Pelodiscus sinensis: one gene and its partner. The protein of the gene in region 1 interacts with the protein of each later gene in a biochemical or structural test. Links are inferred from orthologs where the notes say so. Each region holds a gene or a part of one and is shown on either strand. Other genes may lie near its edges.

Region 1 (7,547 bases):
CTTTTTACCAAGGGTGTGTCTAGACTACATGCCTCCTTCGACAGAGGCATGTAGATTAGCCAGATCGGAAGAGGGAAATGAAGCCGCGATTAAAATAATCGCGGCTTCATTTAAATTTAAATGGCTGCCCCGATCTGCCGATCAGCTGTTTGTCGGCAGATCGGGGCAGTCTGGACGCGATGCGCCGACAAAGAAGCCTTTCTTCATCGGCACAGGTAAACCTGGTTTCACGAGGCTTACCTGTGCCGATGAAGAAAGGCTTCTTTGTCGGCGCGTCGCGTCCAGACTGCCCCGATCTGCCGACAAACAGCTGATCGGCAGATCGGGGCAGCCATTTAAATTTAAATGAAGCCGCGATTATTTTAATCGCGGCTTCATTTCCCTCTTCCGATCTGGCTAATCTACATGCCTCCGTCGAAGGAGGCATGTAGTCTAGACACACCCCAAATGTAGCTATCACCTTTCACATTAACCAGGGGATCATTTTACCAATGTTCTACATCAAACCCCACAAGGACCAGCAAGAAATGATCTTGTACATTATGGATGTACGACAAGCAGTAGCATTCTATATAGACACAACTCACAGTGGCTATTTGTCTCCATAGCGGAATACTCAAAGGGACACACAACAATTTTCCAAGTGGACCTCCACATGCATACACATGTGATACTATATTTCAGAGAGTGTATTTCCCATGGGTTTAAGACATCATTCCACCCAAGCCATGGAAACCTCGATTACTTTTCTCTCGTTATCTTGCATGACATCTGCCAGACATCTATATGGCCATCAGAACACACCTTTGCAAAACACTATGCAATCACTTCTGGGCCCATTCCCAACACAGCCATGGGCCTAACAATGTTATCCTCTGTTCTCAACATGTGACTATAAATCACACCTTCCATGTGGAGTACTGTTTGGTAGTCACCTACAGTGGAGTATCCACAGGGACACTACTTGAAGAAGTTACTGATCTTGTACAGTAATGATGATTCTTCAAGATGTGTGACCCTGTGGATGCTACACAACTCACACTCCTCTCCTCTACATCTTCCACTCAGAGATATAGAAGGAACAGAGGAGTGTCAGGTCCCACACATGATATATTAAGGCACGAATGCCATGAAAAAGCAACAGTATGAAAAAGCAACAGTATGGGTTTGTTTCAACCTTGAGGGTATGTCTACACTACCCCCCTACTTCGAACTAGGGGGGTAATGTATGCATACCGAACTTGCTAATGAAGCCTGGGATTTGAATTTCCCGGGCTTCATTAGCATAAAGACGGCGCCGCCATTTTTAAAAGCCGGCTAGTGCGAACCCCGTGCCGCGCGGCTACACGCGGCACGGGCTAGATAGTTCGGAATAGCTTGCTAGTCCGAACTATCTGTACGCTGTGGGCCATATTCCATATTAACTATTACTAAATGTAATTAAAAGTATACAGAATGTTTTACTGCTATTTTTTCACATAAACCAGGGGTGGGCAATATTTTTGGGGAGGGGAGGTCACTCCAAGAATTTGATAAGTGGTTGAGGGCTGCACTCTTCCATTATACTAATGGAGGAGGTGCACGGGTCTGGGATGCAGTTTGGGTGCAGAAGGGAGCTTGGGGTAAGGCATTGGGGTGTGTTATCTGGGAGGGAGTTTGGGTGAAGGTGGGGATTGTGACCTGAGGAAGCAAAATAGGATGCAGGGTCAGGGAGGGTAGAGGTGCAGAGGTTTGGGTTGTGACCTAGGATAGGGAATAGGGGTGCAGGGCAGTGTTCCCTTTAAGCTGCACAGCTTCACAGGTGATTAATCATCCCCTCCCAGTCAGTCAGCACGATGCAAGGAGCCCTGAGCCTCTGTATGGGCAGGGCTGATTAAACACCTGTGAAGCTGTGCTGCTACATAGCTTAGAGGGAACACTGGTAGGGTCCAGATTTGGTATGGTCTGTTGTTAGTATGAAGATCAAAAGGCAACAGTGGCAGACTGCAGCAAGTACAGGTCTGAATGTGATCACATGCAGGCTAAATTAGGTTATGTCTACACTATAAAGTTACTTCGAACTAACAGCCGTTAGTTCGAATTAACTTTCATAGGCGCTACACATGCAAACCGCTAGTTTGAACTTAATTTGAACTAGTGGAGCACTTAATTCAAACTAGCTAAACCTCATTCTAGGAGGACTAATGCCTAGTTCGAATTAAGTAGTTTGAATTAAGGGCTGTGTAGCCACTTAATTCGAAATAGTTGGAGGCTAGCCCTTCCCAGGTTGCCCTGGTGGCCACTCTGGGCCAAACCAGGGAAACTCTTCTGTCCCCCTCCCAGCACCGGAGGCGTTAAAGGGGCACGGTCTGGCTACAGTGCCCGTGCCAGGTGCAAGCCAGCCAGCACCCAGCCAGCAGACCCTGCATCTGGTACGGCATGAGCCAGCCACCTGCTGTCACCCAGCCCTCCGCCTCTTCCCAGGACCAGGCTGACAGTTCCCAGGAGCCTGCCCGGGGTCGCAAGAGGTGGGCACCCACCTGGTCTAGTGAGGAGATCGTGTACCTCATCCAGGTTTGGGTTGAGACCTCCAGCGTCCACCGTCTCCGCACTAGGCACAGGAAAGGGGCTGTCTAGGGCAGGATAGCTGCCAGCCTGGCCACCAAAGGCCACAGGCGAACCCAGGAGCAGGTTTGCATGAAAATCAAGTTGGTCCAGCGAGACCCCCAACCCTGAGCCCTGAGCTTAGAACATAAGACCATAAGAACAGCCATACTGGGTCAGACCTTTTGACGACTGCGGCAAACACCAGGTACCACAGAGGGAATGGACCGAAGACAATGACCATGCCATTTGTCTCATGCCATCCATCTCCAGCCTTCCACAAACAGAGGCTAGGGACACCATTTCTACCCCCTGGCTAATACCACTCCTTGGACCCAACCTCCATGACTTTATCTCACTTCTCTTTAAACTCTGTTCTAGTTCTAGCCTTCACAGCCTCCTGCAGCAAGGAGTTCCACAGGTTTACTATTTGCTTTGTGAAGAAGAACTTTCTGTTATTAGTTTGAAGCCTGCTACCCGTTCATTTCATTTGGTGTCCTCTAGTCCTTCTATTATGGGAACTAATGAAGAACTTTTCTTTATGCACCCTCTCCACACCACTCATGATTTTATAGACCTCTATCATATCCCCCCTCTGTCTCCTCTTTTCTAAGCTGAAAAGTCCCAGTCTCATTAGCTTCTCTTCATATGGGACCTGTTCCAAACCCCTAATCATTTTAGTTGCCCTTTTCTGAACCTTTTCCAAAGAGAGTTTCCATTTTTGACCACACGTGTCCTTTATTTTTTACATCAGGAAAGGGCGCTAGGGAGGGGTAAGTGGAAGGAGGTGAGGGAGGAATGGGGCACGAGCCCCCGATGGGGAGGACCTGGGCTCTGCGGGCTCCTCGGGGTAGAAGCTCTCCTGCAGGGCCTCCTGGATCCTGACAGCTCCCCGATTGACTCCCCCCAGATGGCAGTCTGCAGCAAGTGTAGCCAGGCTGACGGCCGAGTGCTGCGATGTGCCGAGTGTAGGCACTCAGGGCACTCCAAGACAGGACTGCTTTGCTGTCCCTCATCAAGGTAGACCTGCAGGCAGGGACCCTGAAAACTGTCTGTCTGGGGTGGGGGTCTGGTCCCTTTAAGAACAGCCCTCGGGTAGCCTGAGGCAGCCTTAACTTCGGTTCAGGGTCCACTCAATGTGGACATGCTATTTCGAATTAGCAAAATGCTAATTCGAATTAGTTTTTAGGTCTAGATGCACTAATTCGCATTAGCTTAGTTCAAATTAACTAATTTGAATTAAGTTAGTTTGAATTAGTGCTGTAGTGTAGACATATCCTTAGTCAATTCCACCTGCTCTAGATCTCTCCTGTCAACAACTGACATCACATGCTATCCTGTTTGCACTGCTGATGAAATTACTCTGCCTTTTGTTACTGGATGTGCAGTAGTAACACAATCCCTGAGAATTCTCTACTTTCCACAAAATTACTGAACTGGATCTTTTTCACCATCTCTTTTTGTTCATTCTATTTCCCCTCCATATAGCTGTTTCTGCAAGGATCTAATACTATATTTCTTAGAGGTTTAGAATGACCTCAGTGTAATTGCTAGGGGTTGCAATGTGACTGTTGGTACCTGATCCTACTTTCAGTGTGATTTAGTGAAAGTTTTGTCCTTGACTTCTGTGAATCAGACCTTAGTTCCTATTACAATACACAAAATGCATTTAACAAATTAATTATATAAAACACAAAGAAAAGATCATTGTAAAATAAACTTTAGATTAATTTCAGGAACTTTATTTTTATTTGATTTTCTGTGAAGTAGGAGGAATGGTGATGACTCTTAGCTATGAAGTGGGTAGTAAAAAGCAAACAGAACTCTGAAAGGACAGAGCCAACTAATACAAACAAGGCTCTTTTTTTCTGCAAAGATTGCATAATGTATGTGTGTAGAAAGAAAGAGACTATTGTGTGTTGCAAGAAGATTAGGGAAGTGTTGCTGAAGTCAGAGAATAAAATCTTTGCAAGGTCAGCTCCAGGAACAGTTAGTGTGAGACACTCCAGGCCAACAGAAAGAACCACTTATCATTGTAAATGTGTCTGGTTTGCCTCTGAGGCACTGAGATGATATTGCTGGGATATACTGTTTTGCTCCTGGTATGGACATCTACTGCACAAAAAGGTAAGGTTATTAAAAAGATTGATCTGTTTCCTCCTACTACTACATTAGGGGATAGTCTCAGACAAGTGGCCACTAAAATATTTTATAAATATAAATAAAACTTTGATTATAGCTTTTTTCAGTAGTATCTCAGAGGAAAAACTAATTCTCACTGTGTTGCAATACCTAGTATGAAGTATCTTATACTAAGTGTGATGTCAAGTCTGCCTTTAGCTACATTTTGCTTCTTGTGCCCAGGCTTTTCTAATTATTACTGTGTATAGAAACTACAGCCGAGAAGTCCATTTTATATGTCCTCTGACTATGTTAATATATTTTGTAATTGTTGAAAGCTAACTTCTAATAAATATGAATAAAAATCACCTGTAGAATGAATAATTTAAAATGTGTGTGTGTGTATGTGTTGTAAAAAGGTCTTTCAGTGAGGGGATTTTATTGTATTTATACAAGTTATTGTATTGATGGGAATAAGTGTTTTCAAAAGGCTTATTAAAAATACTGAGTGTATTACTTGATATTAGGGAAATAAACTTCTTATCCATAGAAGTTTATGTATAAAAAGTTGTTTATTCTTTAGGTGCTAGTTGCGCACTCCCTGTATTTCTTCAACAGCCCTCTTGACATTTGCTGTAACAACAGATCAGTTTCTTATGCCGTAAGGCCAACAAACTATCTTTTTTAAAATTGTCAAATAGTTTCCTATGTAATGGTAGAGGGTTTATATATTGTCTAATTAGTTTGTATAATAGTTTAATATTTAGTATGCCTTCTAGGGGCAGCTGTACCTGTACTTGCCATGCCCTATCTCAATGATCACTTTTTATTTTTAATTACAAATTACTTACCCAGTCCAAAGCCTTTACTCATCTAAGCAATTTCAGTCACTACGTGTGGGCCCTAACAGCTGGGTAAAGACTGCAGGATTGGGCCTAAATATTTTTCAGATACCCTTTTCTCTTTCAGAATATTTCAGTGGCACAGATAGAAATTTAACTGGAAAGTTAATAGGAAATATTAATTTGTAGCTATTGCTATTTTAATTTAAAATACATAATTATTTATTAAAATGTTTAAATAATTTACACGCTTTTTACTAAGGTCTCAATTGTTTTCAAAGCAGTGTAATATTCAAGTTTGAAAGAACCAAAATGAGTGAAATTTGGCCTCCTTTTTTACACTTATGTAACATTCCTCAAATAAGTGTAATTGCAAGGACATGTAAATGAGGCAGCATTAGATCCAGCATGATTGATATTACTGTATATTCACTGTTGCAAATCAGGGGTAAATCTGTTTTCTACAGTGGAAAGATTCCAGAGCTACAATAATGTAAATGACAGAACAATTTGTCTCAAAGCCTTTTACTAAGATGATTTTAAAACAAAAGTGTCAGCCATCCATATAATTGACACAATTAGCAAAGAACAGATTGTATCTTTTAAAAAAAAGCTAATGGTCTGCACTTCCCAGAATTTATTTTCTGCTTTTTTTACATATATTTTTAAAATCATGTCTCAGAGGGGTAGCTGTGTTAGTCTGTAACTTTAAAAATGAGTGGTCCTATGGCAGCTCAGAGACTAGCGAATATATATATGATCATGAGCTTTCATGGATAAAAAGGGATGAGTTGGAGGGAAGTGAGTCTTGCCCATGAAAAGTTCATGATCCAATATATGCTAATCTCTAAGCCCTGGTCTGCATTTGGGAGTTATTTCAAAATAAGTCCCTTTATTTTGAAATAACAAGTGGAGCATCCACATTACCAAGCCCATTATTTTGAAATAACAAGCTGGTTATTTTGAAATAATAACTCCTGCTATCCACAAGGAAAAATGCTTATTTTGAAATTGCAGTAGTGTGGACACTTCACTGTGGCTATTTCGAAATAACTGCTCCCCAGAGACATTCAATGTAATTACTCCTCAGTGCTTCCTGGGGCTCTAAATTGAGGTAGTGTATCTATATAAAGGGAGCCTGCTTTGGACTAATCTGGAGACTTCCCTTTAATGTGGACATGCTATTTCAAAATAGTTATTTCGGGAGTTATTCTTTTGCAATAAGTTATTTTGAAACTATTTCCTAGTGTAGATGTGCCCTAAGGTTTTACATGACAACTTGTTGTTTTAAAATCATGGTTAATAGAGTTCTTCGTTGATTTATAAATAGGTAAATGTGATGGATAAAATCCTAGACCCAGTGAAGTCAAGGGCAAAACTTCCATTAATTTCAAGGATCCAGGATTTCATTCAATAAGTATAAACTTGGAGTTTAGATTCCTTCCTTCCCTGCAGTTTCTGTCAGTGTAAATTAGAAGTAATTCCATTTACATTAATGGAATTGCACCAGTTTGGGAGTCAAATATTAGACTGTAGAACTTTATTCTGAATCAGTTACATGTCTTTCCTCCTTACCTTATGGAGGTTATTTTGTATGATACTTCTCTTTAAAATGTGGTGCATATCTTAACAGAAAAATATAAGCTGCCTACAAAAGTATGTATATTGTTCTGCTGGCATTGATACAGTCATGAATGCCAAAATGTGCAAAAATAAATTTACCATGAAGTGAAATTCCCTGGATGTAAACCGATTCTTTAGGAATACGCTCAAAAAAAAAATGGAATGTGGCTCTGAATATATTGGTGACATCAGCTAAATCCAAAACAAAAATTTCACTGTAGATGTCTGAAAATGGGTAGAAATTCAGGCTCTGAGATCCGCCCTTCTTGTGGGGCATTAGAGCCCTGGCTCCAGTCTGAGAATGAACATATACTCACTGTACTCTTTGACCCATCACTCGAGTCAGTCATTCTGGGACAACTACAGCTGTCCTGAGAG
Region 2 (7,880 bases), on another chromosome or scaffold:
TCCTTATCTCTGGACTTCAGAGAATTTCCTTATCAAATGGAAGAACTTCTTCTCCTATGACTTCCTGATCAGATTTCCTTTCAAGTAAAGTATTGCCCAGTCCTTCCCATTTCATCTGTTCTTGGTATCACCGGGTGGGAGGAGGACAGGGGAGGGGTGGTAAGGTGCCACATTACCCAGGAGATGGGAATGAGGGAGCCCATTACACAGGGGAGTGGGACAGCTGGTACATTACATGGGGGAAGAGGACAGGGTGATGGATGAGTTACACAGTAGACTTGCAGGTATAGCAGGTGGGGTCTTCTGACCCATCACCTCCATCTGTCTTGCTCACTGGCCGATCACCCCTGTGATATTCTGCACTCTTTGGGTATGTCTAGACTATGCTGCATTTTCGAAAGAGGACATTCAAATTCCGAGGGAATTTACATATCTTCTTCCAATCTCACTTTCAAAAGTGGGTCTTTTGAAAGCGAAAGTAGTCTGGATGCATTTTTTCAGAACCCCCCCCCCTTTTTGAAAAATGTGTAAACCTCATTTTTTAAGGAAGAGCAGTTTTTCAAAAAGGGGGGGGGCGGGCGGTCTGAAAAAACCCACATCCAGACTACTTTCACTTTCGAAAGACCTGCTTTCGAAAGTGAGATCAGAAGAAGATATGCAAATTCCACGGGAATTTGAACATCCTCTTTCGAAAAATGCAGTGTAGTCTAGACATAGCCTATGGGTGCATCTACACAGCAGGGCTTAACTTGAAATAAACTACGCAAATTGAGCTATATCAATTGTGTAGCTTATTTCAAAATAGGAAGTGACTACACAGCACTTATTTCAAAATAGAGCTCTCTTCCTCTGACTTCCCTTACTCCTCGTACAATGAGGGTTACAGGAGTCAGAATAAGAAGTCCTCCAGCTTGACAGGATTTTGACATTATTTCGAAATAACTGCCTGCTGTGTAGACACAGACTAAGTTATTTTGCAATAATGCTAATTATTTCAAAATAATGTTGTTGTGTAGCTGTACCCTATATGTGCCATAGTGACAAGATTACGACATAATTATGACACATCTTATGCAAAATATGTCAGGTCAGGTGTCAATGGAAATGTTATGATTTCCTAAATAGGATTATCCTGTTTGTATGCATATAGCATTTTAGTTTCTGAAGTTATGAATATTAACTGTGCATCTACATTTCCAATGTGTTTGCTCCTGGGTAACTCCCACAACTCAATTTACATCCAGCCTAGCTAATGTGTTGTGAAGGGAATATTCAAGGTAATGAGCCATCAAGTAAACAATGGGCCAGGGGAAAAATGTATCCTCACTAGCGGATGCTTCGGCCCGCATATGGAGAATGCTGCCATGACTCAAAGCATGCAAGGGCATGTGACTAGACCATGTGATCCTCTACTCCATTTTAATGCATGTACTTTTCCACAAACTGATTTGGGGACTTGGCTTGAAACAAAGAAGTTCCCTCCACATGGAAGGAGCTATAAAAAGGGGGAGTGACATCACCATGGGACCATACTCCCCCTACATCATACCTGAAAACACCTGAGGAACAAAGACAAAACTGGGGAAGAATGTTCCAAGCAGGAAAGAAGGAAGCCTGATTATGCTTGGAAGCCTGGTAGACTGTACTATCTGACAGGGTGAGACCCTGCTTGATTCAAACCCTATCTAGATCTTGATTCAGACACTATTCTAGATCCAGATTTTTATTCAGACCCTATCTAGATATAGATCTTGATTCAGATCCTATCTAGGCTTAGACAGTATTTTTGTTTATTTCTTAGTTAATCTGCTCTGGTACCTACACCCACCACCAATCACTTAAAATCTCTCTTTCCATAATTAATAACTCTGTTTTATATTTTTATAGACAAATGTTTGTTTTACTGGAAGTGCAAATGGGGCTAGTGCATTGTCCTCTCCACATTGAGGGAGGGGCGGACTGAGTAATAATCTTCACTTGTCAGATTTTTGGCCAGGGCAAGACGGTACCGCTCTGGGGTCATAGGCTTTGGACCTGGGGGAAGAACTTTTGTGCAACTAACCATAGCTGGGTGTGTCCCTACCTGTGTAAAGCAGGACCAAGAGCTGTCTGCAGCTTGTCAGTGCAGCACAGTGTGAGAGGGCATCTGGGTGGTGAATCACAAAGCTCAGCAGTACCCCAGTACCACGTTGCACCCCAGTGGCACAGCCCATCACAACCCTATCTCAGGTGACCAGTTAGCAAACAAGAAAAATCAGGACTTTTTTTTTCCAGGGGTGGGGATATAGCTGTGTATGTAAGACAAAGTCTCTAAAATCAGGGCACCTGGTCACTCTGTGTCCATCTACCATTTCTGACACAACTTGCCACCCTAACTACTTGTGTTGCAAGCTGTGCCCGGCCTTTCCTGTGACTCGAAGGCAGGGATGGGGAACTTTTTTTGGGTCGGAGGCCATTGACCGATAGAAAAATGTCAAGGGCAGCACACAAGTGAAAAGTTTTTTTTGTTTGTTTTTTGTTTAAAACCCTAACTGATGTGTCCCCATCTGGGAAGGAGAAAGACACTCCTCACATTCCCCTTCCACACCAGAGTCTAGGGGGACTCAGCCTAGTCGATTTTGTGTGCTCCCGCCCTGAGGTGGGGCAGTGAGGAGGCTGGAGTGCCTGTGCAGGCTTCCCAATGCTGGGGAGGCCCCTGAGCTGTGGGGAGCCATATCTGGGCAAGCTGGGGTCCGAATGTGGCCCCTGGGGCCTGAGGTTCTCCACCCCTGCTGTACGGTTACACAGTTTACTCCTTGGGTTGCCACCTGGCTCACTGGCTGGTTTTTGTACTGCCTTGCTGGTTAGATTTAATGTGCCTTCCTTGTGCACTTGTGACATATCAGAGCACTCTACAATGCACATCTCCATAGCTGGACTGTGTTGAGGTAAGGTATGAAAAATGGTAAGATAATATAAAACTATACCATCCATCTGGCTGTCCGTTCATCCATGGGTGTGGACTAATTAGCTCTGGTCAGCAACTGGACTCTTTAGCCACTGACAGGTGCATGGCCAGTGGTCCAGCTTTTCAACCTACTTTTGAGTCACCCACATGCAAACTTTTCATTTCAGGGATGATCCCCGAGTAAAGGGAAGTGCGGGGCTAGGAGGGCTGGTCTGGGGCACAGCTGCATGGGTGGGGGGAGGTGGGAGGACTGGGACAGGGACAGGTAATTGTGGTAATTGTGCACCTGGAAATGGCTGGCATGTCCCTCCACCCCCTGAGAAAGACAGAGCAGGGGGTCTCCACAAGGGGCTACTGAGGACCTGCACATCCTGGGGTATGTTTCATCATTTTTGAGATCAGGCTGTTAACAACGAGGCTACGTCTACGCTGCATCATTTTGTCAGCAGAGGAAATGCGAATGAAGTGCTCATTAGCATTTCTCGCGTTGTCATTTGCACAGTCTCTCCCTATCCTTTTTGCAGAAGAGGTTTTTGTGGAAAAATACGCAGTGTAGATGGGCCCATTTTGCACAAAAAAAATCCCCTTTTGCTCAAGAACCCTTATTCCTCAAAAAAGGAGATATACAGGATCTTCCACAAAATGGATCAGAAGAGATTATGCAAATGACAGTGTGAGAAATACTAAAGAGCACTGCTAATGATGCAGCGTAGACGTACCCTCAGAGCCCTGCCCTGGATGCTGCTTCTGGCTGTCAGCGCTCTCCCCCATCCTGGGGTGTTGTGGGACTGTCCCACTTTGCTCCCTCCCCCTCCCCCAAGTGCCTTTTCCTGGTTAAGGGGCAGTTTGTCTGAGGCAGTTTGAAGCCCCCAAAAACCCAGTGGCTTTAGGACCTGGCATGTGGGGTTACCAAGCCACTCAGATTTTACCCCTGTATCCCCAGGTGCAGCCAGGCCAAACCCATGTGGCCCTATGACCCGCTTTAGCCTCTGGAAAAGTTATGCTTAAACGAAGCACACGAGATCTTTTATGGGGGAAAAGGCAATATGCCACATTTATTGAGAATACAACCATTGCATATGCTTTTCAATCACTCACACACAAACATATACACACACACACACACACACACACACACACACACAATCTTGCCAGACGATGTCATAGTTACCAGTCCAGAGTCCGTATCCATCTAGTGGCCAGCAAGATTGAACACAGGGGGAAGCAGGGCCTTTGTCAGTCGATCGATCCGATGCTCCTCTGGATTTGGTGTTGGCAAGGTGAATCCAACGTTCCATAGCAAAGCACCTTGCTTTTATAATTTTTTTCTCTTGTTGAAATCCATGGATACCGCTCTGACAGCTTGTGACCGGAATGTTACCTTGTTGATGTCAATCATTCCCAAACCTCTCTCTAAGGTTCATCCTATAATCAATCTTCCTTTCAGGGAGCTTGCTCCGCTTTAAGGTCAGCAATCTGCCAATTATTCAATCTTCTTGTATACACCGATGGTTATAGATGGCTTCTCTGCAGCCAGGTTGTCTCGTGCTCTGGCCTTGCCCATGCTCACTTACTCCCCTTCTTCGGCCATCTGGTTCTAAAGCCATATAACTTTTCAGCTTATCTTGACACATTCACATTCCCTTTCATAAACAAAAACTTTCCAAGGTTACAGATCTTCATGGCAAAACAAAAGCATTGTAAATTAAACAATTAAGGCTTGGCCTTCAACATTAGCAGAATTCCTCTAATCTCATTAACATAGCCACAATATCCAAAACAGTCTTTCTACCTTAGAACATTTACTAAACTTCAGAACAAAGAAAATAGACCTTCAACTGAAAGGACTTAATTTGTAAAATATTAAATGTTTATTAATATATATATATATATATGCCTTATATTGCTATATTATTGCTACATTACTACTATAATGGATCTGGGGAACAGTCAGCCTGACTTGGATATCTGGCAAGCTAAGAATATAAGAACGGCCACACTGGGTCAGACCAAAGGTCCATCTAGCCCAGGATCCTGTCTGCTGACAGTGGCTCCAGGTGCTCCGCAGAAGAGGGCAGTCACTGGGACCGGCTCCCGAAGGGCTCGGAGCTGGGCGTGGGGTAACGTCTCCCCCGGGAAGCCCAGAGCCCCGACGCAGACCCCCGGAGACGGGGGGGTCGAAGACTCTCACAACCGTGGGCTACCGATGGGCCTGGACCCCACTACAGAGGGCGGACTCCTCCTTTGCCGGGTGACCGAGTCACGGTAAGCTGCGAGGACCCCACGGGAAGGGCAACGGGATCTGTGGGGGGGAGGAAGCAGCCCGGGGCAGGGCCCTTTTGGTGCCCGTGAGTGGATGTGTTTCGGGAGGGCATCCCACGTCTACCACACAGGGAGCAAGCAGACCCCTGTGCTTAGGGCCCCGGGCTGGGACCCGGTGGAGAGGGTGGGCCCGGGTCCCCCTCCTCTCCCGCCACCATTGGGATCGCGGGGCGGACAAAGCCCCGCACAGAGGGACAGGCAACACCTGGGTTCGGCTGAGCGGGGTGATTGCACTCAAAGACTCTGAGCTGGACTAGGCTCCGGAACCAACGGACCAGAATCCATCGACAGGGTTCGCCGAACTCTCCTCTTGAGTGGGAGGGGGTGATCGCACCCCCCGACGTGGTCACACTTGATTTCTTTCTTTGGTAGGGTAACTGGTTTGGTGGACTGGGAAAATGTGGTGAACAAAACATACCTGGACATTAGCAAGTCTTTTGACACAGTCTCACATGACATTCTCATAAGTAAGCTGGAGAAATGTGGACTCGGTAGAACTACCATTAAATAGGTACATAATTGATTAAACAAGGGCAAATAGAGAGTATGAACGGAAAAATGCTGGATTTGAAGAAGGTCTCAGGTGGAGTTCCCCGGGGATCTGTTCTGGATCCAGTGTTATTTAACATCTTTATTTATGACCTGGATGTAGGCCTAGGGTAAATCTACACTGCACGCTTATTTCAAAATAAGCTATTCTGGAGGAAATACTCCAAAATAGCTTATTTCAAAATAGCCTGTCTACGCTACAGAGAAACCTCAAAATTAGTCCAAAGAGGCTCCCCTAATCTGGATGTGCTACCTTGATTTAGAGCCCCAGGAGGCACTGGGGAGTAATTACTTAGAATGGCCCTGGGATGGAGCTATTTTGAAATAGCAGCAGTGGAGCATCCACACTACTGCTATTCTGAAGTAGCTGTTTCGGGACAGGTGTTATTACTGATGGAATGAGGTTTACAGATGTCGGAATAAGCTGTCCGTTATTTCAAATGTATTTCAAAATAACGGAATTGCTGTGTAGATGCTCACATGGCTATTTTGGAAGAATGGCCATTATTCCAAAACTAGCCAATTAGCCCGTCATAAGACGGGATTTTCAGGTCTCTCCTCCACGTCAGTCTTCTCTCCTGAGCCTCCAGTCTCTTGCTCTGTCTCTCTCTTTCTCGTTCTCTCTCTCTCTCCTCCTACTGCCCCCCCCCTCAGCTCTCCTCCACTTCCTGCCTCTCTCTCCGTCTCTCTCTTTCTCTTCTCCCCCTCCTGCCTCTCACTCTCCCTTTCTCTTCTCTCCCCTCTGTCTCTCCCCCCCTCAGCTCTCCTTCCCCTCCTGCCTCTCTCTCTGTCTCTCTCTTTCACTTCTCCTCCCCCTCCTGCCTCTCACTCAGGGGACCTCGGAGCCCAAATGGCCATTTGGGCTACGCACTCCCCGTGCTGCATGCTCCCACATGGCAGTCTGGCTGAGCAGCGCAGAAGTCAGCCGAGTGCCACGGCGGGAGGCGAAGCAGGGGTGGGGCCATGAGGCTGGATCGGAGGAGGGGGGACAGAGGAAGGGGGGCAGGAAGCAGACCTGGATGGGGGAGTGCAGCCGCTGGCGGCAAGCGGCCGTTTGGGGTCCGAGCTCCCCCGCCGAGGCCCAGCTGAGCGGCGCAGCGCTCAGCCGAGCCACCTCGGAGGGAGGGGAAGGGGGGCGGGGCGCTAACACACACGGCCAGGGGGCGTGGCCGTGTACATCAGCATTACAGACTCACAGACACTGGGCTACTATAGATATGATATGATATGATAATGCTGCTGTGTAGATACACACTGATTAAATTTGCAGATGACACAAAGGACAGAGTTAAAATTCAAAGGGCTCTTGGTAAATTGTCGAGCTGGGCTATAGACAACAACATGAAATTCCACAAAGATAAACATAAAGTGCTATGCTTAAGGAGGAAAAACCAAATGCAGCCAGAGGGGAGAACTGGATTGGCAGCAGCACAGCAGAAAAGAATCTGGGAGTTGGAGCCGATCATAACCTCAAAGTGAGTCAGCTGCAGGATGCTGCTGTTGCAAAAAAAGCCTGTGCAGTTTTCGGTTGTATTAACAGAGGCATAGGGAAGTTACAGGTGGTACAAGTGACGCTCTAGTCAGCCGTGGCTTGGCCTCTGCTGGAGTATTGTGTCCTGTTTCAGTCCCTAATGTATAGAAAGGATGTGAAGAAACTGGAAAGGATCCCAGAGGCGAGCGACGAGGCTGATCAAAGGGCTGGAGCGCAGCCATCTGAGCAAAGGCCGGAGGAATAGGGTATGCTTAGTTTGGAAAAGAGGAGATTAAGGGGAGATATGACAGCCGTCTCTTGATACTTAAAAGGCTGCCATACAACAAATAGAGAAAAGTTCTCTCTTGCCATAGAGGGCAGGACAAGAGGCAATGGGTCCAAACGACAGCGTGGTAGATTGAGATGAAAAGAAATGAGAAACTTGTGAACAATAAGAACAGTAGGAAAATGGAGCAGGCTGCCTAGGGAGGTTGCAGAAGTGTCTTCTCTGGAGGTTTTCAAAAGCAGGCTGGAGAGCCATCTGTCTTGAATGGTTTATTTAGACACAGGGGCTGCGTCTAGACTGGCATG

The links. The genes of interacting proteins can lie anywhere in the genome.
Region 2: the proteins of CFH (region 1) and serum amyloid P-component-like form a complex in vitro, tested with the Homo sapiens proteins (12 studies listed by BioGRID and IntAct, with this or other methods). The link is inferred for Pelodiscus sinensis from reciprocal best matches to the Homo sapiens genes CFH and CRP.

Annotation. Positions count from the first base shown.
Region 1 is NC_134719.1:47,251,062-47,258,608, reverse strand, and holds the start of CFH (complement factor H), read left to right. Parts: upstream 1-4,535; 5' UTR 4,536-4,652; coding exon 4,653-4,710; intron 4,711-7,547. UniProt on the Homo sapiens protein: Glycoprotein that plays an essential role in maintaining a well-balanced immune response by modulating complement activation.
Region 2 is NC_134734.1:12,777,782-12,785,661, forward strand, and holds the start of serum amyloid P-component-like, read left to right. Parts: upstream 1-4,866; 5' UTR 4,867-5,212; intron 5,213-7,880. UniProt on the Homo sapiens protein: Displays several functions associated with host defense: it promotes agglutination, bacterial capsular swelling, phagocytosis and complement fixation through its calcium-dependent binding to phosphorylcholine.